Arabidopsis thaliana: one gene and its partners. The protein of the gene in region 1 interacts with the protein of each later gene in a pairwise test. Each region holds a gene or a part of one and is shown on either strand. Other genes may lie near its edges. The genes, in order: AT1G74370, AT3G26370, FACE2 and AT4G01410.

Region 1 (5,029 bases):
AAGAGATGGATTCCAGCGGAGTTCCCTCCGTTCAACTTTGTATACGCAATTCTAACCAAAAAGAGTTGCAGAAGCCTATGGGACCATGTTCTCAAAGGGTACGGTCTCTTTCCTGTCTGTTCTGCTGGTTCCACGGTACGCACGCTTAAAATTTCAGCCTATCTTCAGCTCAGTGGAAATAAGTTTTCAGGTGAGATTCCTGCAAGCATCTCTCAGATGGACAGGCTGAGCACACTACATTTGGGTTTCAATGAGTTTGAGGGGAAACTGCCTCCAGAGATAGGACAATTGCCTCTTGCATTCCTCAACCTTACTCGAAACAATTTCTCGGGCGAGATTCCTCAAGAAATCGGAAATCTGAAGTGCCTGCAGAATCTTGATCTGTCTTTCAACAATTTCTCTGGAAACTTTCCAACGAGTTTGAATGACTTGAATGAGCTGAGTAAGTTCAACATCTCATATAACCCTTTCATTTCTGGCGCGATACCAACAACAGGACAAGTAGCAACCTTTGACAAAGACTCCTTTCTTGGAAATCCGCTGCTGCGGTTTCCTAGTTTCTTCAACCAATCAGGGAACAACACGAGGAAGATTTCCAACCAAGTCCTAGGAAACAGGCCAAGAACTCTTCTTTTGATTTGGATTTCCTTGGCTCTTGCATTGGCGTTTATTGCATGTTTAGTGGTATCAGGTATTGTACTTATGGTTGTTAAGGCTTCAAGGGAAGCAGAAATCGATCTCTTAGATGGGTCGAAAACCAGACATGACATGACTTCCAGTTCAGGTGGATCATCGCCATGGCTATCAGGAAAAATCAAGGTCATTCGCTTAGACAAATCAACTTTCACATACGCTGACATTCTGAAAGCAACCAGTAACTTCTCTGAGGAGAGAGTGGTAGGTAGGGGAGGCTATGGAACTGTTTACAGAGGCGTATTGCCTGATGGAAGAGAAGTTGCAGTCAAGAAGCTTCAGAGGGAAGGCACAGAAGCAGAGAAAGAGTTCAGAGCTGAAATGGAAGTTCTAAGTGCCAACGCATTTGGAGATTGGGCACATCCGAACCTCGTGAGGCTATATGGATGGTGCCTAGATGGGTCAGAGAAAATCTTGGTGCACGAATACATGGGAGGCGGGAGCTTAGAGGAGCTCATCACAGACAAAACAAAACTTCAATGGAAGAAACGTATTGATATAGCCACAGATGTAGCAAGGGGATTAGTGTTTTTACACCACGAATGCTACCCTTCCATCGTTCACAGAGACGTCAAAGCCAGTAACGTTCTTTTGGATAAACACGGGAATGCGAGAGTGACGGATTTTGGACTAGCAAGACTCTTAAATGTAGGAGATAGCCATGTGAGCACAGTGATTGCAGGCACAATCGGGTATGTAGCTCCCGAGTATGGACAAACTTGGCAAGCCACCACAAGAGGAGATGTTTACAGCTACGGAGTATTGACCATGGAACTCGCGACGGGTAGAAGAGCTGTTGATGGAGGAGAAGAGTGTTTGGTCGAATGGGCAAGACGTGTAATGACAGGTAACATGACAGCCAAAGGTTCACCAATAACCCTGTCAGGGACCAAACCAGGGAACGGAGCTGAGCAAATGACTGAGCTACTAAAGATTGGTGTGAAGTGTACAGCTGATCATCCTCAGGCAAGACCAAACATGAAAGAAGTTCTAGCTATGTTGGTTAAGATATCCGGTAAAGCAGAGCTCTTCAATGGCTTATCTTCACAAGGTTACATAGAAATGTAAAAATCTTTCTTTCTTTTCTTCTTTCAGATTTATTATACAGAACAACAGAGTTTTCTTCTTCACCATTTTTCGTTTCATTGTTTCTGATTCTTCTTGTACACAGAACCTCATTGTTATCAGACAGATAGGGATAGAGAAAGGTAGTTTTGTTCGCAATGTACAGAGACACAATCTGAAAATAAAGATCTTCTCTTCTTCTTGTCTATATTGAGTGTAAACAACGTTGGCTCTATCTCGTGTTTCTTACAAGTCAGGAAACATACAGGAAGAAAGAAACAGTACAATGAGTCAGGTTGCAATCTCTCTGATCAGCCAGTTTAAGCTCGGGAAGGCAAAATAAAGGACGAGAAACGACGGGACAGCCAAAGCAAACGTAACAAAGAAATAAACCCCGAGAACTGCAGCACTCACAGGGATTGCATATAAAGCCATCAACAGGAATATGACTACCAGAGGAAACTTAGCCAACAAATGAGCAACAAGAGCCATTGACTTACGTACCGAGTCATGGAGCCTCCCAGTTCTGAAGAATCCTCTGGTCACACCATTCCACCAGCTGCGATTGTCCAGCAACCCTTCATCACCCAAGGCGGTATTACTCACTCCATCACACCTATTTCTCAAGTCTCTCTGCCCTGAAGCAACCCTTTTGTTGTCGCTGGGTGCCTCCGATCTGGAGCCATTCATGCTTTCTACCATCCACAGAAGGTAAAAGTTCTTGGAAGGAAATCTGATGGTTCCATTGCAAACCAGCCTTAAAGAGAGAATATTGCACCAAGGGCAAGCAACGAAGAAGGGAAGCTGGAATGGTAAAGCAGAGGATTTGATGACAATGGCACGTTGAAGCCCTAAGAGACAGTACTTGCAGATTGTATGACCACACCATAAGACATAAGGTACATTCTCAACAACGTTGAATGATTCCCAGCAAATGGGACACTCCAATTTTTCTTCCTTTGTTGTCTTTCTTCCATCTCCTGATCTATCTAAAGTAGCTCTTCTTGGTTTTGTAGCAGCTTCTTCTCCCTTCGATATAAAACCTTCTCTGATCGATTTTGAAGCTAAATTCCACATAGCAATGGAGGGATCCACAAAGATAATCACTTTGAATCTTTCTCTCTGCAACAAGAAAATCACACACACATACACTACATAATCAGATATGAGATTTACAATCCAACCCCCAAAGATTGGACCGAGAACATACAAAAAGTAACGAACTTGATGAAACCCAAGAAATCATTAACAGAATTACAGAAAACGAAATACACTTACAAGAGTTTATCCGGTCATGAAGATGAAGATCATTGCAAAAACAAAAAATGCAACAGCTACGTCGTTGAGTTATATAATATCTCCGAAGCTCTGATGTAACCAGCGAGAAGAAAACCGGCTGAAAAAGAGACACGCGTCGTAAAACATGGTGACTCTGAAACGCCTTTCAATGTTTCCGCCGCCCCCACCGATTTCCTCACCTTATCCGTTTCTGTTTTCAGGTTTAACTACCAAAACGCATCGTTTCACTATACCGCCAAAATTAAACTACCGGTTTAGTTCCGTAATTTTCTATTACCGAAATCGGTTAAAGTAAAATAGTAGTTGTCGGTGAGAGTGAGCTGTACGCGTTTCTTCTTCTCCTTGTGCGCTTTCTGGATCGAACGAAGCATTTTCCTCCGACAATATATTTTTAAGTAATGACAATGTTTCCGCATTATTGGGTTTAATTCCATTTTTAAATTAGGGTTCTTCAGATCGACAAATCTTTCTCTTTCTCTTTCCCCGATCGGAATCATGCTAAAGATCTGAACTTTTTCTCAGATCCGTGAATAAGTAAGTACGGAGAGACAGAAACATACTCAGACTGATCTGAGGAAAACAAAGTTGATGGTCGCAAACCTGTAAGTGAAATCTATAGAGAGAGACGTTGAAGAAGAAAATGGGTCAAGATGGTTCGCCGGCGCATAAAAGACCATCCGGAAGCGGCGGAGGACTTCCGACGACGACGTTAACCAACGGTGGAGGAAGAGGTGGTCGTGGTGGTTTGTTACCTCGAGGTAGACAGATGCAGAAGACGTTTAACAACATCAAGATCACAATTCTCTGTGGTTTCGTCACAATTCTCGTCTTACGTGGCACTATCGGTGTTGGTAACCTAGGAAGCTCAAGCGCCGATGCAGTTAACCAGAACATCATTGAGGAGACTAACCGGATTCTAGCTGAGATCCGATCTGATTCGGATCCAACCGACTTGGATGAGCCTCAGGAAGGTGATATGAATCCCAATGCGACGTATGTTCTAGGTCCTAAGATCACGGATTGGGATAGTCAACGTAAGGTATGGTTGAATCAGAATCCTGAGTTTCCTAGTACTGTCAATGGCAAAGCTCGAATCTTGCTTTTAACAGGATCTCCTCCTAAGCCTTGTGATAACCCCATTGGTGATCATTATCTTTTGAAATCTGTGAAGAACAAGATTGATTATTGTAGGCTTCATGGAATTGAGATTGTGTATAACATGGCTCATTTGGATAAGGAACTCGCTGGCTATTGGGCAAAATTACCAATGATTAGGAGGTTGATGTTGTCTCATCCAGAAGTTGAGTGGATCTGGTGGATGGATAGTGATGCTTTGTTCACTGATATACTGTTTCAGATCCCTTTGGCTAGGTATCAGAAGCATAATCTAGTGATTCATGGTTATCCGGACTTGTTGTTCGATCAGAAGTCGTGGATTGCTTTGAACACAGGTAGTTTTCTGCTGAGGAATTGTCAGTGGTCGTTGGATTTGTTAGATGCTTGGGCGCCTATGGGACCTAAAGGGCCAATTCGTGATGAGGCCGGGAAGGTATTGACGGCTTATCTGAAAGGTAGACCAGCTTTTGAGGCAGATGATCAGTCAGCATTGATCTATCTCCTGCTTTCTCAGAAAGATACATGGATGGAGAAAGTGTTTGTGGAGAATCAATACTATTTGCACGGGTTTTGGGAAGGTTTGGTTGATAGGTATGAGGAGATGATAGAGAAGTATCACCCGGGATTGGGTGATGAGAGATGGCCATTTGTGACCCATTTCGTTGGGTGTAAACCGTGTGGTAGCTATGCTGATTATGCAGTCGAGAGGTGCTTGAAGAGTATGGAGAGGGCCTTTAATTTTGCAGACAATCAAGTGCTCAAGCTGTATGGTTTTAGCCATAGGGGATTGTTGAGCCCCAAGATTAAGAGGATCAGAAATGAGACAGTCTCTCCTTTGGAGTTTGTAGACAAGTTT
Region 2 (6,884 bases), on another chromosome or scaffold:
TCCTGCACCTAACTTGGTATTCACACTCATGAACCCATGCGACATCCAAACACAAGCCCTCTCCTTGATCCCAATATCTTTCGCTCGCCACTGTCTACCTGATTCTTCATAAGCACCTCCCTTCAACCATTAAAAGATTCACTTGTTGATAACTTCCAAACAAACTTCATAAACTCAGAAAGAATCAATCAACTCAATACCTTAACACTATCCATAACGAGACTATTTGCGTTATAAGCTTGTGTGCTGATTCCTCCCATAACATGAATCCCAAACTTCAAACCCATTCTATGAACTTTCTCAGCAACTTCAGTGAAACCTTTACCGCCTCTAGAAGATGGCCATCTACCTGGATCAGGATGCAATCTTCCCCATTCATCAATCACATCAAACCCAAGAGAATCCACATAAGCTCCTTCAACTTTCTTTCTATACCAAAGGTAATCCACCACAACATACTGTATCCAAATCAACACACACAAACACAAGCAATTAAAAACCTAAACTTTTACATTCTAAAGGATAAAGAAACTCACAATTACCTGATAACCATGAGGAAGAAGACGCTTAGAAACAATTTCAGCACTCTGCAAGAACTCAGCTTCAGAGATAGTCCAACAAAAGGAATCGTACGAATTCCATCCTCTTGGAGGAAAGCTAGCATGTTGTTGCCTCGACCTTGCTTCAATCGATAAACTGAAAAAGACGAAACTTTTGTGATTGATCGATCACTCAAACACCACCCACTCAAAAACCAAAATCAAATTCAAAAACCCAGTGAAGCGGAGTACCTAAAAATGGATAGATTAAAGATGATGAAGAAGACAGTGGACCGGGTCGACCCGGTTTTCTCTACGGATAGTCCGGTCATAGAGATGAGAACTGATTACGATAGCTTCTGATTTTGTTTTCCTCTTTTGTTGTTGAGAACCTGAGAGTAAGAGAGAAGACAACACGCAATGGTTGTGTTAATGGCGGGTACTATTAGAGAGCGTGACAAAAAATTAAGAATTGGATTAGTAACCGTTGAGCTAATTTTCTTTTAATTAAAGTTTAGTGCATCAATTTGATCAAATTTAATATAAAAAAGAAACTTTTTTTTCATCACTAGGAACTTTACATAATATCAAAATGATTACAAAGATGGTAAATGAAGACTTCAAAGATTTGAAAGGTCAAAAAAGAAGAAGAAGAAGAAGAAAACTACGAATCTCTATAGTTTGTTGCTCCTCATCAGACAAAATCCAAGACCAAACAAAAGCATCATCATCAAGCTTTACACATGCATGGAGTGAGAGGATTTTCCCAAAGATCATAGTTAGGGAAAGTTTCTTCAGGTAAACCGGTTCGTGTTTGATGGGTTACAACTACATCTTCCACAAAAGTTGCCCATCCCATGTAAGGATCCCCAAATGATTTCGACATCAACCCTTTATCCGGTTTGATTGATTTCTGGCGATGCCCCATATATCTACGCGCTCCGATGATCAGTTTTGCAAAGTTTCCACCGTGTGTCATCACAAATACATCTGATTTCAAGCACACCAAGAAATCTAGAGCCGCAAGACTTGTAACGTGTTTTCTAAACGTTGTTAGTTCCTCTTTGCCTGCTAAATCCTCCTTTGTTACCTGATTCAAAGGACAGTTAATGTGAGAGACAAGTTTGTGCTGATTCATCAAAGAATTATAAGAGTCCGGTGTTGTGCTTACCAAATTTGGGAACATGTTTCTTAGTGGAGCCATACGGTTTTGACCGCCATAGACTTGACCAGATGCAACATAGATTTGTGTTTCTTTTGGATAGCCCATTGCACGTAGGATCACAGCAACTTCTCCTGGCTCAAGAGGGCATCGACCTTCTTTGCGCTTCTGCAAGGCGAGCTGCCAGAGATGGGAACCATTCTGCAATATATGTCAAGAAATTTCATTAAGGTAGCGGTTGAGGTTGTTTAGCCACCAAAAGAAGTTGACAACTGCTTATAAATGTCACCTTGAAACGCCGAGGCCATTCCTTTTGTCTGTATTCTGCCATTTTAACTTTCTCTTCCCTTGTCCCCACAAAATCACAGAACGATAGACCAACCATTCCTTTCTCGAATCTAAGATGAAGAGCCCTATACAAGAGACATGGGTATAGTTTTAAGTTGATATAATGCATATGGTCCTAAGTTATAACAAAGTCGAATCTCTGATATGGCATACATATATGGATTTGGATTTCCAGTGCGATTTCTCATTCTAGAAACAAGTGAATCAGCCATCTGCTCTATCTCTGGAAGAAATTTGAGAGCATGATAATTTACACGGCATCGTAATCTGTTGATTTCTTGAGGTACATTGTCATACCTGAAAAAATTTCCAGCATCACAAGAATAAATCATTCATTGTTTATAAGACGATTTCCAAAATCTGAGCACTAAACTATAGGAATATTGGTTATACCCAAGTCGATCGACAAAAGGCTTCAAGGCCATTATCTTCTTCTCCTTTATCCGAGGTAAAACATTGTCAATATAAAATTGGGCTGCTGCATATTTGGGAATGTTTTTGACTGTTCTTCTGCAGAAGATAAATAAATAACTTGGTCAACATCATATCTGATTAAAAAATACAGATCGATTTTTAAATCAGAGATATACACAAGGAGCACCCAGTGACGCCATAATTCCACAAGCTAACTTTTGAAATCGTCCAACAAGTACATCATCAACAAATAATGAGTTGACAAGCAAACCTTATACTAGAGAATAGCTCTGCTTTGTCAGTGAACCAGTCAGGTATGTCTCGAACAATTCGGACATCATCCTTCAAGTAATCAATGAAATGATCTACATCAAAAATGTCTTCAAATTTTCTGCAAAAGAAAGTTAACAAGCTCAGTAAACCAAAAAGAAAATAGAGAAGTAATTCAAGATGAAATGAAATCAATATCTGAATATGATTTTACGTTGTGTCTTTCCATATTTGGTCCTGCTTCAGTACTGGTAGAATCAGTGTTGCATTCATAATCTTGGCAACAGCTACTGCGTTGCAGATCTGGAAACAAAAGGGCATGAATTCAAGATTGGACGATGGCAAGAAGAACAACAGCCATTTAGACATTGATCCATGATTGGATAATGGCGAGAAGAAAAAGAGATAAAAGTTGGAAGATACATACAGCAATTCGCTGCTGATTCAAACCACCTTCAGCATGAATGAATACATAGCCATTTGTTTCATTCTCAGGAGGAAGATCTGAAAAAAACAGTTGACACAATCTAATAAGCTAACCAAGGAAAAAGACTTGAACTTTCACGAAAAGACAGATCAATAACACATGACAATGTGTTTCGACGAAAAAAAAAAAATAAAAAAAAAAAATAACACATGACAATGAAAATGACAATGCTCTAGCCCTTCAATACCTGAGATTCCACCAATCCGCCGCTCAGCACAAGGCTTCCAAGAAGTTGTTGCAGATAAAGGATTCTCCCAAGGAGAAGGTGACTCTTTTACCTTACAAATGCAAACCAACACACAATTAAATTTACAGGATTCAAAGCTTATGCATTCAACAAAACACATAACCAAAGTTTTCAAACACTTACATGAGGACAGTTTAGCACAATCCCATCTTTTTTACATAAATAAGGAGCATTCTGCAGAAGATAGACATAGAAGCAATCTTAGTCTGAGAACAATGTCAATCCAAATCCACCTAAATAAACAAACCCCTTTACTCAAAACAAAGCTAAATACTTTTCCAAATCGATTCCACAGTTAGAACATAGAGCCTTGAAGATCTCAATTCCTAGATCGAAGGAAGAGACTTACCAAGTGATTAATAATCCCATAAACTGAGATCAAGCTAGCAATAGCGAGAATCAAAATCAATAGAAGCGAGATTTTATTCTTCTGAGGAGAAACCCTAGGATCATCACCGAAGAAAGGAAACAAAGAGTGAAACCAGATCGGACGGTCTCGATCTCTAGAAGGATGACGTGGGCGACCATCTTCGTCGTCTCCGCCGTTAGGAGAGTGATCGTGTACATGAGGCGATGAAGAATCCTCATCTCCGGCGGCACGTAACGGAGAAGAAGAAGATCGGCTACCGAGAGAGCTCGAGTGCCGTAACTCTGCCATTGCTCGCCTCGGACTAAAAGTCGCCAGCTTAATTTCTATATCCTCTCTTCCTTTTCTTCCTCTTCACTTTCTCTGTAGATAGATACAGTGCTTCTTCAGCTCTACTATGTGGACGCTGCCATTTGAGAGAGAGCTTGGAGATTCGAACACTCCACAGAGAGAGAGAGAAATTAAAGAAGCTTTTTTTTTTTGAAAGGCTTGAATGTTCTTCTTTAAAGTCAATACTCTCTGAATCAAACAGAAGATTAGATTTAAGGATATTTACAAAAACATCCCTATATCTCATAAAACTTACATAACCACCCCTATATTAGTAAATTCTCTGGTTTTTATCTCATTTCCTCCATCGCCTCTTTTTTAACCTAGACATTCTCCATCATCACTCAAATTGGCTCTTTGATTCTCTCCGGCGAGATTCCGACCGGTAAGTCGAATTCAGATCCTATCACTGTCTCTCGTCAATCTCATTTACGTTTTCAGAAACATACTTTTTCAGAAAACAAGTAAAAGAGATGAACACGATAGCGAAGCGAGTTACGGGGTTGGTGACTCGTCCGAGTCTAAACCAGCAGTTGCAGCAAGAGCGAGGGATAAGAGTGAAGGTGTTCTCCAATGATTTAGACAAGGCACTGACGATTTTGCAGAAGAAGATGCAATCGAGTGGAATGGAGAGGCTGATCAAAGGGACTCAGACTCATCACATTAAGAATTCGGAGAAGAAGGTTCTCGCTAGGAAGAATCTTGAACGCAGAATCAAATCCATTGACTTTGCTCGAAAACTCCAATCAATCCTCATCAAGAAAGTCAGGTAATGTTTTCTGATTTTTCTCAAAAGCTTCACATTTTTTAGGGTTTTAATGGTGTTGTTTAGTTTAGTAAGATCTTGCGTATTTCTTATTGTTATTCTTTGCAGAGGTTTATGAGAGCTGAGGTGAAGCAAGAGTGCTGCTATGTTGATCAGTACTAGTATCTGTGTGTGATATAACACAGTTTTACATTTTGAACTTTTGATGAGTTGAATCAATGTGGAATTGGAATTTTGGATTTGATTAGTTGTTTACTCTATGGCTTCTCTTTCGTAAGTTTTCAATGATCTTGAGAAAGAACATCAGATCTTAGGAGTACATGTATTGAAAGTTGTTTCAGGGCAAGTGCGTTGCTTCTCCTGCACTCTGTATGACTGTGTTCTGTGGGTCTCTGTGCTTGAATTGTGTTTCTTGTTCCGGCCATGATTACTCTGAGATTGTTCTGCTTTCTTCGCGTGTAAAGCGTAGGTTAGCTCTTTCCAGGCGTTTACACTTTCATTTTATGTATATTCATGTTACTATATACCATGCCATGCCAAAGAATGGGGATAAGAGATATAGGAAGAACAATTGCACCGAAGATCGTGGAAAATACCTTTTGTATGGGTTTAGTTTTCAGTTTGCTTCCAGCTTTTTTACTAGTATCTGTTTGGTCAGGCTCGATTGGTAGTTGTCTTTGTCAACGTTTGCAGTAACCGGCATTGCAGAGTTGGTTTCATGTTTGATGCTGCAGAAATTGAGCAGAGAACAGAGTATCTACCTGCAGAAGCAACGTGTTTCGCATCAGATTTGCGCTAACTAATCTGCGGCCTTCTTGATCTATGGGAGACATATCTTAACATGTTCATAGTTTACTGACATATTCGACAAGTTTTCGTAAGTTGCTCTGAGAATCAACATCTTTCCCCTGGAGTGAGCTGAAGTAGAAAGATTGACATATTCATGACTGTTACTGTAAGTCCTTAACCCTGTCTCTCCTAAAATCGAGATCTTTTTATTTGGGTTTTAGATAAATTGGACCGAGTAATTACAATTTTCTTAAAAAAACTTTTGAATGAGAAAAAGATACAGAGAATGTTTTTATACTTTTTCATGAGATTAGAAACTGATTTTAATTTTAGTGCAAGGAATCTACAACAAAGATTACTTGCTTCGTGCTATCACTTTCCTTCTTTATTTTGTTTTCTACAACAAAGAATCCTTACTTGAACTTGTCACCAAGTTATTCTCTCCCTCTCTCTATCTCATTTAGAAACTTAAAACAGTTCAAAATCTCTCTGTTCTCATTCTTTCATCTCAAGTCTTACTTAACTTAGTTTCCTTTGATGCTTTTTAGCTTCTTCATCTAAATGTCTCATCATCATCACCATGAAACTAACCCTCATTTTGCGCGAATTCCATCGCAGAATCCACATCTCAAAAGCGGTGGTGCTTCTACCTCACAAACATCTTCGAACCAACCACACATCCCGCCCATTCCGCACCCAAAAAAATCGCACCACAAAACCACGCAACCTCACCCAGTAGCTCCACCAGGAATCCTAATCAAGACTCGTGGTCGCCACCGTGAAAATCCAATCCAAGAACCGAAACATTCTGTAATACCTGTACCATTAAGCCCAGAGGAGAGACTTCCACCACGAAAAACTCAAAACTCATCGAAAAGACCATTGCTATTAAGCCCTGAAGATAATCAACAACAACGACCTCCACCACCACAAGCACCACAACGCAACGGAGGGGGTTATGGATCAACATTACCTCCAATACCCAAACCAAGTCCATGGAGAACCGCTCCAACACCATCCCCGCATCACCGCCGTGGCCCACGGTTACCACCACCCTCAAGAGAGACAAACGCAATGACATGGTCAGCTGCATTTTGCTGTGCAATATTCTGGGTCATTCTTATTCTCGGCGGTCTTATCATCCTAATCGTTTACCTCGTCTACC
Region 3 (6,163 bases), on another chromosome or scaffold:
AAGACGGCGAAGATGATCTGTTCGAGATAAACCTGGAGGCCGTCAGTGATACGGCCACATCTCCACCGTATGATTGCCAGAGATTACCGGCGAGAACAGGTAGCGTTTTACTGGCCAACTGTCTATTACCAGCTGCCGAAATCTCTAATGCCGTACCGGCAACATCAAGAGGTTGGAGTGATTTGGTTTGGTCTAGAGGGGTTCTCTATGTTGATAATCAAAGAATTGAGAGTAAGAATACTTAATCAGATGTATATCTTACAATTTTACCTTGAAACACAAATACGTATCTTATAGACACTTGAGAGATAATCTTGTCAATATATGCAAGTGTTACGAGTGTTTAATCAGATGGTTTATCACTATCTGGATATCATGGAAGAACTAGGTGAGTATGAGTATATATGGTTTCCTTTGACAAGATCCTGGTAAGGGAGAGACCAAGCCGCCTAAAAGTTTGGTTTCAATTGAGTCCAAGGATCGAAATTGTAGGGTATGTCTTAAGTACATCCACCAGATATATCAGAAATTTTACATCTTTACATTGTATGTTTAAAACAATTGCCTACTCCCCTTTGAGTCAATTTGGATTCTAAAGAAAAGGTGGAACACAAAAATGGTTCCCTCGGAACGAGTGTTGCAACACGAAAATATAGAGATCATTTCTAACACCAGTTCTACTGAATGTTTTAGGAGAAGGTAAAGCTGACAAATACTATGCTCACTCAATTGGACATAGCTGATTCTTCTCGACACATTAAAACAAATTCCATCTAAGAGAGTATGAATTGCGGATAAATCTCTCTCTAATTTCCGTGACACAGCAAATACTATCAGGAAAAGTAAGTGCAGTTCTGGGATTGACAGTAGAAGACGAACCTGAAGCCAAGATCCCATGTCCCTACTTATCTATGCCACCTAATCAGGGAACATACCAACACCGAGCAAACCACTAAATACTAATCACTCTTTCATTAGACTATGCCTAAGTTTCCAACAGCTCTAAAACCAACTCAAAATTCTACTCTACCTACATGGAGCCATACTTTAAGCAAATCTAATGCCAATCATTCCTAAAACTTGGGACCTTTAAGTATAATCCAAGCAAGAAGTCAGCACATCTTCATAGCCTCACACCGGGAAAGTAAATAGCAAAATAAACATGAAATAGGAAGCATATAAACCTCTTCTGCATTAGTACAGAAGCATATCATCCGCAACATCAATTCCAATACTCTCACAAATCTAATGTCCAGGAACAAACTATGTCAAAAGACATATCGACCAAATTGTATAAATAATTCTTAAGTAAGAACCTTAAAGATCAAGTGACAGATACAAACATTGAATCAAATTTCTTAAACACCTTTCTAAATTTATCCAAAAAAGCCTTTACACACCGTGCTATTCCCACCCAATTCAACCTCACATCAAAGAACTTATATTGCAGCCTTTTTTTGCTACTTGCTAACACAGCATCGGAAGTGATTCACGATCTATCAATATGGAATCAAAATATAACAAGAAGAGAGAAGAGAGTATAGATCAAGAAACAAGCGTACGCGATCAAGCCACGGTGCTCTTCTCCACCATCAGCAAGAGATACCACCAATGTAGAGCAGGCTCTAGTGGACCACAACACAAACAAAGCCGCAAGCACAAACCGAACCGGCCCTGCTCCCTGGGGAACGAACAATGACACCGCCGATAAAACCACCACCGGAAGCAAACAGTATCCGACCAAGCTCGTACACGTATGGAGATTAAGGTTCCCATTTCTACCAGCAAGCATGTTAAAGACGACGTATAGAAAGATAGAGGAGACGACGATCCATCCAAGTATGACACCGAACTGGATCTTACCAGCTAACAACTGAAATAAGCAAAGCGCAAGGTACAGAAAGATCGGACCAGATAGATCTGAATCTTTGTGAACAGCTTGGTTAATCCGAAAAGGATTGAGAATCGATCTAGTCTTCTTCCAGATTTGATCTGGATGGATACCGAGCTCGTCGAGTAATGGCTCCTCATCTTCAAACGAAGCTGAACCTCCACCAAAAGAAGAAGAGGAAGCGATTGTCCCGCCGAATGGTCCGGCAGGTGTAGCGGAAGACGCGGCTGCGGATCCAATGTCGAATGACATGAAAGGGATTGCGGAAGAAGAGGGACGCGGCGGTTGAAACGGTGTCGCTGGGAATCTTCGTTGCTGGACATTAGCACCGCCTGAAGATCCACCGGAGGGGAAAACTACAGGTGGAACTGCGAAATCCTTCGTCATCTTCTTTCCGAAATTGAGATCTCACCAAATCAGCAAAGAGATTCGAAATTAGGGTTTCAAGTTTGGATCAATGAGATGAATTTTTTAACCCAATTCACACGTTCGTGACGTTTCAGAGAAAATTCCTTTCTTTTTTTTGTTCTCTTCTTCTTCTTGACAGTGAAGAGACAACTTTAGAAGAAGGCATCTGAGGGTAGTTTCGTCATTCCGTCTAGTTAATGACGAAATATAACCAATAGGCTTCTTCGAAACTGGCATGGTGACGTATATCTTCTGATGATATTACCGTTATACCCTCTTTTATAAACGAAATTGGCCCAATGGGTCTGTTCGGCCCAGTAGTCATCCGTTTTAGTCTATAACGTGGCACGATGTAATTGGTTAAAGATTAGAAGACCGCCGGACTAAGATTTAACCAGCGGTGACTTCGACACTTATTAGCCGGTATATTTCTTCGCCGGAGCTTCCTCAACGATTATGGCCACCGATGGCGAGAGTATCTCGATGTCGTTGGCGGTGGCTACCTGCGTCGCGATGGCACTATTCTACGTTTTGATCCTTTACGTTCCCACCGTGATACTCCGTCTCCCGTCGGCTTCTTCTTACACCGAATTCATGATTCGGCGATTCATCTGCGCGGCCATTTGTACTGTAGCATCTCTCGTCTTCACAGCTTTTATACTTCCGGTAAGCTTCTTTGAGTACCGCCATTTCTCGATTTGAAGTTCATTCTCCGTTGATCTGTAACCAAATTAGGTCCAAATCTAGATGCATTTGGTGTTTTGATGAAAGTTAAACTAAAAGTAAAGAAATTTGATGTATTTGTAACTTTGTTGAGAGTTGAATTAGCTTTTACTAGTTGTTGTAGGTTCACACAATTTGTCTCTAAGAATGTAACACTCAAATATTGGTGACTATGTTGTGTTTGGTACAATTCAACGCTAGTTACAGGAATCTCTGAAACTTGTCTTCCTTTTTTGCTTGAGTAATGTTAGATAAAAAGCTGGGAGGCCTCTTATATACTTGGAGTTTATGGCATAAGGAAAGATCATCTGGTAAGTTCTTTGTCTCAATTTGTTTACTCGTAGCTTATTGTACACTATTCATATTAAAATGGTTATGTTTTGTGATATGGAACAGTGGCAAGGAGTGGTGTATCCTCTTCTATTGACCTCGCTCGTTTATGCTGGGTCTTTGGTGTTGAAGTTGTTTACTCTCCTGGAATCATGGAAGGAAAATGGCGGAGGATGTAGTTCCTTTAATTACATCAGAAGCTTTTTCCAAACAATCCCTGCTTCGGTATTGACAAGTGCTTCTAATGTTTCCGTTTGGCGCAATTTTATCGTGGTAATCATATGTTTGCCATCTCTGTGTGCTTATCTTGTCAATTCTTTATTGAAATTGCATAAGGCATTGCTTGCTAATTGTCTGAGGACTATATGCATCAGTTTGGTGTATAAGTAAGTTCTAAATCGAACAAGTTATAATCTGTTAGAGCTGGCGTTTCTTATGATTTGCAGGCACCAGTAACTGAGGAGCTGGTTTTCCGATCATGTATGATACCTTTGCTTCTGTGTGCTGGGTTTAGGATTAACACTGCCATCTTTCTGTGCCCAGTTCTCTTTAGCTTGGGTTTGTTTCTTTCTCTCTCTCTCTCTCTCTGTGAATAACAGTTTACAACTCGAGTGAAAAGAAAATTACTGGATTTGTCTGACTTTTATATGTTTTGTGTAGCTCACTTAAACCATTTTAGAGAGATGTACATCAGGCATAACCGCAGCTATCTCCGGGCTTCACTTATTGTTGGTATGTCTTTGCCATCCATAATCATAATAATATTGTTTGTTGATCAGTCCTGAGCTTCACTTGTCCGTTGATCAGGTCTTCAGCTTGGCTACACAGTCATTTTTGGTGCATATGCATCGTTTCTCTTCATCAGAACCGGTAACATTCCAGGCATTTATATATCTTATACATGTAAAAGCCTTTCTAATGGATGATTGTCTCCTGCATTGTGTAAATTTTACAGGACATCTTGCTGCTCCTTTGTTTGCTCATATATTTTGCAACTACATGGGATTGCCTGTGCTATACGCAAATGGAAAAGGTAAGACATAAAGTTCAAGGTTGTTAACAAATGCAAATGCAAAAGAATAAGCTAAACATGGTTATGGTTCTTCTCTCAGGTTTGGTGAGTGCAGCGTTCTTAGGCGGTGTGGTTGGGTTCGTCTTACTTCTCTTTCCTTTAACAAAGCCTCTCATGTACAACGATAGTACCAACGATTGTCCGTGTTGGCTTGGCTATTGTTTGTGGAATTGACACTTCTCCAAGTTTTTTTTTATATATCATCATGTCTTAGAATCTATTTTTTGACACAATATTGGAATTATGGTCTTTTACTGCAAGCTAATGTTTCTTGATAGTTTATGTAGTTTTTTCCTTGTAAATATATAATAATAATAATAATTGGTTCAAGTCTCCAAAATTAGTGTTGGCTAATTGTCCATTTTTTTCCGGTATTATCCCTAATGATTCTCTTGCTATCCTAGGAGGGACAGGAAGAAGGATGATCTACATCCCCAAGTCTAACCTAAACTATATTGTCCAATGTCAACACGCCAAAATTCATTTGATTTATATATAAAAATAGAGAAACAATGATTAGAAATTGAACATAGGTCCATAATCTTACATCAGAGATTCAGAAGATGATGTCTTGCTTGATGATCATCCAAAGAGATTTTGGGGGTAATCATCAAACGGATATAATTTTCTGAAAATTATATTTCAAAGTTGACTTTCAAAGTCTGAGTTTATGATGATGATTTTCACTTAGGAGTTACGAAAATTATGTTTCTAGGATTCGTAGGTCTCTCAGTAATTTTCTCACCACCACTTGATTACTATGTCATATTCCTACGAAATTTGAAGCTTGGATAGTTGAATTTATGGTCAATAAATTATCTGTACACTACACATATATTGTGTTTGTGTGAAGTAAACGGTGATTTAACGGGAGAGGATCTCTTCATAAAGAAGATGTGGTTGATTATGCTTGCATATAACAGAATTTGTTGAACCGGAAAATCATCCTCGACAAAACCAATATGCAGTAATCTACTCTAAAATGTATTTTACCCAAACTATACACTACTACTATCTAGTGAGATTCATTACTATTGTTTATGTGGATAGTTTTAAAAAGATGAAGACCAATACTATTATGATCTATTCATAAATCCTATTCTTATTTTATAGTTGTAAGTTGAGCTTTTATAATAGAGAGCATAAATATTGCTGGTATTTGAACTAATACAAACCGTTAAAAAAAGGGAACTAATACAAAAAGAAAAATCAACTAAATTTTCACTAATACTAAAAATTTGCAAAATTATGTTAATTTACGTTTATTTATTTATATTATAAATAAGTGAGTAAAATTCAAAATATTTATTTACCTTACATTTTAAATTTATCATCGCAAAATACACCACAAAATTTCATTAAGAAATATTTGTTTTTTTGTAAAGGAGGTAATAAATGACGTTTTAATATGATACAGTCAATAGGATACAACTTTGATCACGTGATTTAAAATTGGTGGTAAACCTATGTTCTCCTAAACACTTTTTCGTATCTTCTGATATCCTTATGGACCTTATCACTACTTTATCCATATATAAATTTCAATAATTAAAAGAAAACAACCACTTTACAAATTTGTTAATATCAATTACATGGTACCTTGAAAATAAATCTGGTCGAGATTAGAAAACTCTTAACTAACATAACTGAATAATAAAAGTCACATTTTCCAATCTTATTGTTCACAATTTGTTATTTCAAGACCATGAAATTTATAAAAGATAAAGGAAAATGTAGAA
Region 4 (4,817 bases), on another chromosome or scaffold:
AAAATGTGAATAATATAACATCTAAATTTTATACTAGCTAGTTATAGAAAAGTTGTGCTTTTGTCATGTCAAATTTGGTTGGCTTTTCCAGGAAAAATTTCAATTTATCTTGATCAAGAATACCAAAAAGCGCAGTCTTTCTGCAGAACGGGTAATTGAATTTGTTATATTAAGCGAAATAAATAAATAAACTTCGATTGATGTTGTTTCTCTGAAATATGCAGATTTTTGGATTATTCGATATGAGAAACGATGGGGCTATAGATTTTGGAGAGTTTGTACACACACTCAACATTTTTCACCCAAACTCATCACCAAGAGATAAGGCCATATGTATGCTTCATCACTTCTAATGTGTTTATTCATTTATTCCATGTTATTATTATTTTCTATATAGCTAGAGATCAATGTTATTAACTATAACCACAAATACATCTGATCACTTGTTTAAAATTAAACAGTTGCATTTAGATTATACGATACTCGTGAGACTGGATTCATTGAACCGGAGGAGGTACGTATGTAAACTTTGTCTCAAAAAAAAGAAAAAGTCATGATTAATTATATTTGACGGTTTTCCTCGACTTGGAGAAATCTATAGGTGAAAGAGATGATAATAGACGTTCTAGAGGAATCAGAACTTATGCTATCCGAGAGTATCATTGATTCTATCGTGTCTAAGGTGTGTATAACGCTTAAGTTTATGAGCTTGATTTAACATTATAGTGATTTTACTTACTATTTTTGTTTACTTATATTTGGCAAAGACATTTGAAGAGGCCGATTGGAAAAAAGATGGGATAATAGATTTGGAAGAATGGGAGAATTTTGTTGCCACCTATCCTTTGACACTAAAGAACATGACTATCCCTTTCTTGAAGTAATTCGTTTGTTTGTTTTTCCTAACCATTTTCTTAATATTCGCTGATAAATTGCATGTTTTAGATACATCTTTCGTTTTACAAAAAAAGTAATATATATACATCTTTCAAAAACAGCTTTTATATATGTGTGTTTATGCATATATTACTATTATCTTCTTTTATTTTATTTTTCTTGTTTTATAAATCGAGATAATTATTCTAAAATTAACTTTTATTGTACAGGGACATTCCGAGGATTTTCCCAACCTTTCTCCGGTAAAATCAGATGAGGTGTTTGCTAGAGGTTTTTGTTTAAAAATATTTTTATCCGAAAATCACATAGGTAATTTGTTATAAGAAATATAGAAGGTTAATTATTATATAAACATATTAACTATCGAAAGAAATCTTTAATATTTAACGAGGATAGAAAGTAATTGTTTTTAACCACAAAGCTAAAGCTGTGATATGAAAACTTAAAAGCAAAGATCGGTTCGTGAAGACAAAATGGGGTTTTGGAAAAGGAAAAGAGGAAAAAGAAAAAGAACAAACGTGTGAAAATTCGAGAAAAATGGTAACACAAAAAGAAATTGGACATGATATAAGTTGCCAAAACCAAAGAGAAAAAATTGACATGATATACCAATCAAATTTTTGAATCAGGTCAACTAATCAAATTCACAACAATCATCCACAATATTATTTAGATTTGACGCTTTCACTGTTTCACATGAAAATTTTACATTTGACGCGATGACTTGTGGAGTCACGATCATTTTAGTCACTCGTTTTAAACGGATGCTTCATTCAAAAAATGTAACTTATATTCAGAAGACTCCTAACGTCCGATTCAGATTTACAAAAAAACAATATCATTGAATCGGAAAACAGAAAAGCATAGTAATATTCTAAGTATTTAATTATAATCGTGAGGAAATAGTTCCGTAATAATGGGGGAAAAATATATATATGATAAAACCAAAATGAGATTTGCCTGAAGATGCCATATGTCTGATCAAACACTCTGAGCTGTTGTGTCGATGAACTCACCATATGCCAAGATACGCTATTAGCGACAACACATTTGTATTGTCAAATGTCATTAATTAACATCCACAGGTCCAACAACAGAGAAACAAAATAATTATCACAAGTAAAATATAAAATTAGTAATATACTTGTACTTATAATTTTTGGCTTATGCCTTTTAATTTATTTTAACACTAGACTCGACGAAACTCATCACTAACATGACCACAAAAAAAAAAGATTACAATTCTAAAACACAAAGATTAAAAAAGAAAACATAACGAAGTAAAATTAAGACTAGACATCAACTTTACAAGTTGAAGGAGCGAGAAGAGGAACTTGTCCGTTAGAAGATGGATTAAATCTCAACCACACATCACATCTGGCGTAAAATCCATACCGTCCAGTCTTAATCGCACCAGCTTTCCAACGTAGCCTCCCAAAAATCACCACTCTCATCAAAACGACGCCGTAAGCTTCATCATTTTTTAAACCATTAGCTACTTCCGGCGAGACTGGTATACCGTTGCCTCCCATCACCGGAGCTATCACAACCGTAGATTTATGTCCTAAACGAAGCGGTGGTAGTGGAAGCGGCGGTGTTATGATCTGATCTTTGTACGTTACGTACATAGAGAGCTTGTCGTAGTGAATGGAGACTCTCCGGTTAGGGTTTCTTGCTAAAACGCTGAACTGAACGGAGGTTGAGATTAACGGCGGCGCTGTGAAATTCAGGTCGTAGATGGCGGCTCCGACGACGGTGAGACGTGGTTTATGTGGACGGTAGACGAGCCAAAGGATTAAGGCTATGATACCTAGTATGACAAGGATGGTGAAGATCGCGCCGCAGATTGCGCGGCGAGCATCTCCACCGCCTCCTCCGCCTTCTTTAGAGTAAGATTCTGGCGTTGAAGAAGCGGAGGGAGCGTTCTTGTGATCTGCTTTGGCTGCGTGCTCTGCTTTTGCTTCTCCTTCTCCCATGGCTATACTCTACAGATATAAGTGTTAAAGTGTGTATGTATAGGTATGTGTGTGTCTATACGAGAATCAGAGGGTTCGGTGAAGAGTGAAGACTCTAAAGAAGGAGGAGGAGAAGAAAGAAGATAAGTAGATGCAAGGTTTTGTCTCTTTTCTAGTTAATAAGAGTAAACAGTCTTCTAGAGTACAGTTTTATTAATTGTTTATTAACTTAGAAAGCTTGTAGTTGTAATTATGTGTTAAAGCTAATCTTTTTATAAAGTAGCCGTAAATTACTACTGTTTTTACATTGTGATTTTATTTTGTTATAATACTTAATGTAATAATATAAGATAGAGAAGTACTTTCGAAAGACTCCAAATCTCGGTGCAACCGTTCACGTGACGGATCTGATGAGTGATGAATTTTTTAAAAATGAAAAATCCAATGTAACGTGTATACATATGGCTATACATAATCAAATACTTTGTTGTCAATGATTGACTTATTTGGTGACAACTATGGTTTCGTGCAACGTGATAACTATCACTTTTTGGCCGTGTTAATTTTTAAAAAAATTAGAATGAAATTTATCAGGTTACGGCCTGTCAAAGTTAGCAATAACCTAATATCTGTTTGCATGCCAGAATACGGTTATGTAGAAAGAAAATTAAATTATCATATTTCACAATTCTTTATCAACTGTATAAAGCAATTAATAATAAATTAATTAGATACCACATGTGTCATATTTGTTCTAATGTTTAGAAAATAAAAGTACAAGTCTTTTATGTCCACATCTCCAACAATACTTCTGACCAAATTCCATATATTATTAGTAAGCTTCCAAAATAAATAATAATCACATTTAAGAAGAATCTGTTATTTAATCACACTAACTGAGATACCGCACCACCGACACTGTAGTCACCGACAATGCTGTGGATGCTACCTGGGCCTCAATTATAAGCCCATTATAAAATTGGGCCTACACTAAAACTATTGTGTACAGAGAGATATTTGATAATTTGCTGACTGATACAAGTCTCACTTCCAACGGCCGATTTATTAAAAAAAAACTCCGACAAATGATTCGCCGGCCGATCTACGACTTCGCCGCCGTTTTTCGCCACTTAACTTCTCCGTTATCGACATCCTCGCGTTTTCTGTTCTATTCTTCATCTGAACATGAAGCTCGAAAACCGATTGTCTCGAACCCTAAATCCCCAATCGGGTCTCCGACTCGGGTTCAAAAGCTCATAGCTTCGCAATCGGATCCTCTCCTCGCCAAGGAGATTTTCGATTATGCTTCTCAACAGCCCAATTTCCGCCATTCTCGATCTTCTCATCTAATCCTCATTCTCAAACTCGGCCGTGGTAGATATTTCAATCTTATCGACGACGTTCTCGCCAAACACAGATCAAGTGGTTATCCATTAACCGGAGAAATTTTCACTTATCTGATCAAAGTCTACGCAGAAGCAAAGTTACCGGAGAAAGTCTTAAGTACGTTTTACAAAATGCTGGAGTTCAATTTCACGCCGCAGCCAAAACATCTGAATCGGATTCTAGATGTTCTCGTAAGCCATAGAGGTTATCTCCAGAAAGCTTTTGAGCTTTTCAAGAGTTCACGGCTTCATGGAGTAATGCCTAACACGAGAAGTTACAATTTATTGATGCAAGCTTTTTGTTTGAATGATGATTTGAGTATTGCATACCAACTGTTTGGTAAAATGCTTGAGAGAGATGTTGTCCCTGATGTGGATTCTTATAAGATTCTGATACAAGGGTTTTGTAGGAAAGGTCAAGTGAATGGTGCTATGGAATTACTTGATGATATGTTGAATAAAGGATTCGTGCCTGATAGGTTAAGTTACACGACATTGTTGAACAGTTTGTGTAGGAAGACACAGCTTAGAGAGGCTTATAAGCTTCTATGTAGGATGAAGTTAAAAGGTTGTAATCCTG

What was found.
Region 2: the proteins of AT1G74370 (region 1) and AT3G26370 interact in a protein complementation assay, tested with the Arabidopsis thaliana proteins (one large-scale study listed by BioGRID).
Region 3: the proteins of AT1G74370 (region 1) and FACE2 interact in a protein complementation assay, tested with the Arabidopsis thaliana proteins (one large-scale study listed by BioGRID).
Region 4: the proteins of AT1G74370 (region 1) and AT4G01410 interact in a protein complementation assay, tested with the Arabidopsis thaliana proteins (one large-scale study listed by BioGRID).

What each region holds. Positions count from the first base shown.
Region 1 is NC_003070.9:27,956,151-27,961,179, forward strand, and holds AT1G74370 (RING/U-box superfamily protein), read right to left. Parts: upstream 3,251-5,029; 5' UTR 3,037-3,250; intron 2,881-3,036; 5' UTR 2,836-2,880; coding exon 2,050-2,835; 3' UTR 1,936-2,049; downstream 1-1,935. Other genes in the region: AT1G74360 (Leucine-rich repeat protein kinase family protein), read left to right, coding at 1-1,761; XXT5 (xyloglucan xylosyltransferase 5), read left to right, coding at 3,698-5,029; AT1G74385 (uncharacterized protein), read right to left, coding at 4,575-4,820.
Region 2 is NC_003074.8:9,654,127-9,661,010, reverse strand, and holds AT3G26370 (O-fucosyltransferase family protein), read right to left. Parts: upstream 4,332-6,884; 5' UTR 4,126-4,331; coding exon 3,817-4,125; intron 3,642-3,816; coding exon 3,591-3,641; intron 3,499-3,590; coding exon 3,408-3,498; intron 3,238-3,407; coding exon 3,161-3,237; intron 3,037-3,160; coding exon 2,948-3,036; intron 2,855-2,947; coding exon 2,735-2,854; intron 2,560-2,734; coding exon 2,443-2,559; intron 2,347-2,442; coding exon 2,203-2,346; intron 2,115-2,202; coding exon 1,991-2,114; coding exon of another isoform or gene 1,928-1,990; exon of another isoform or gene 1,903-1,927; coding exon 1,711-1,902; intron 1,630-1,710; coding exon 1,270-1,629; 3' UTR 1,066-1,269; downstream 1-1,065. Other genes in the region: AT3G26380 (Melibiase family protein), read right to left, coding at 1-120, 201-458, 543-696, 792-871; AT3G26360 (Ribosomal protein S21 family protein), read left to right, coding at 4,638-4,933, 5,039-5,048; AT3G26350 (proline-rich receptor-like kinase), read left to right, coding at 6,281-6,884. UniProt on the Arabidopsis thaliana protein: Glycosyltransferase involved in the biosynthesis of pectic type-II arabinogalactans.
Region 3 is NC_003071.7:15,211,852-15,218,014, forward strand, and holds FACE2 (farnesylated protein-converting enzyme 2), read left to right. Parts: upstream 1-2,534; 5' UTR 2,535-2,755; coding exon 2,756-2,965; intron 2,966-3,273; coding exon 3,274-3,333; intron 3,334-3,418; coding exon 3,419-3,625; intron 3,626-3,798; coding exon 3,799-3,910; intron 3,911-4,012; coding exon 4,013-4,084; intron 4,085-4,159; coding exon 4,160-4,222; coding exon of another isoform or gene 4,223-4,278; exon of another isoform or gene 4,279-4,307; coding exon 4,308-4,385; intron 4,386-4,464; coding exon 4,465-4,598; 3' UTR 4,599-4,762; downstream 4,763-6,163. Other genes in the region: AT2G36295 (uncharacterized protein), read left to right, coding at 1-245; AT2G36300 (Integral membrane Yip1 family protein), read right to left, coding at 1,511-2,278. UniProt on the Arabidopsis thaliana protein: Protease involved in the processing of a variety of prenylated proteins containing the C-terminal CAAX motif, where C is a cysteine modified with an isoprenoid lipid, A is an aliphatic amino acid and X is any C-terminal amino acid.
Region 4 is NC_003075.7:576,364-581,180, reverse strand, and holds AT4G01410 (Late embryogenesis abundant (LEA) hydroxyproline-rich glycoprotein family), read right to left. Parts: upstream 3,154-4,817; 5' UTR 2,874-3,153; coding exon 2,190-2,873; 3' UTR 1,894-2,189; downstream 1-1,893. Other genes in the region: CBL5 (calcineurin B-like protein 5), read left to right, coding at 92-151, 225-333, 462-514, 602-682, 768-880, 1,107-1,143; AT4G01400 (oligomeric golgi complex subunit-like protein), read left to right, coding at 3,938-4,817.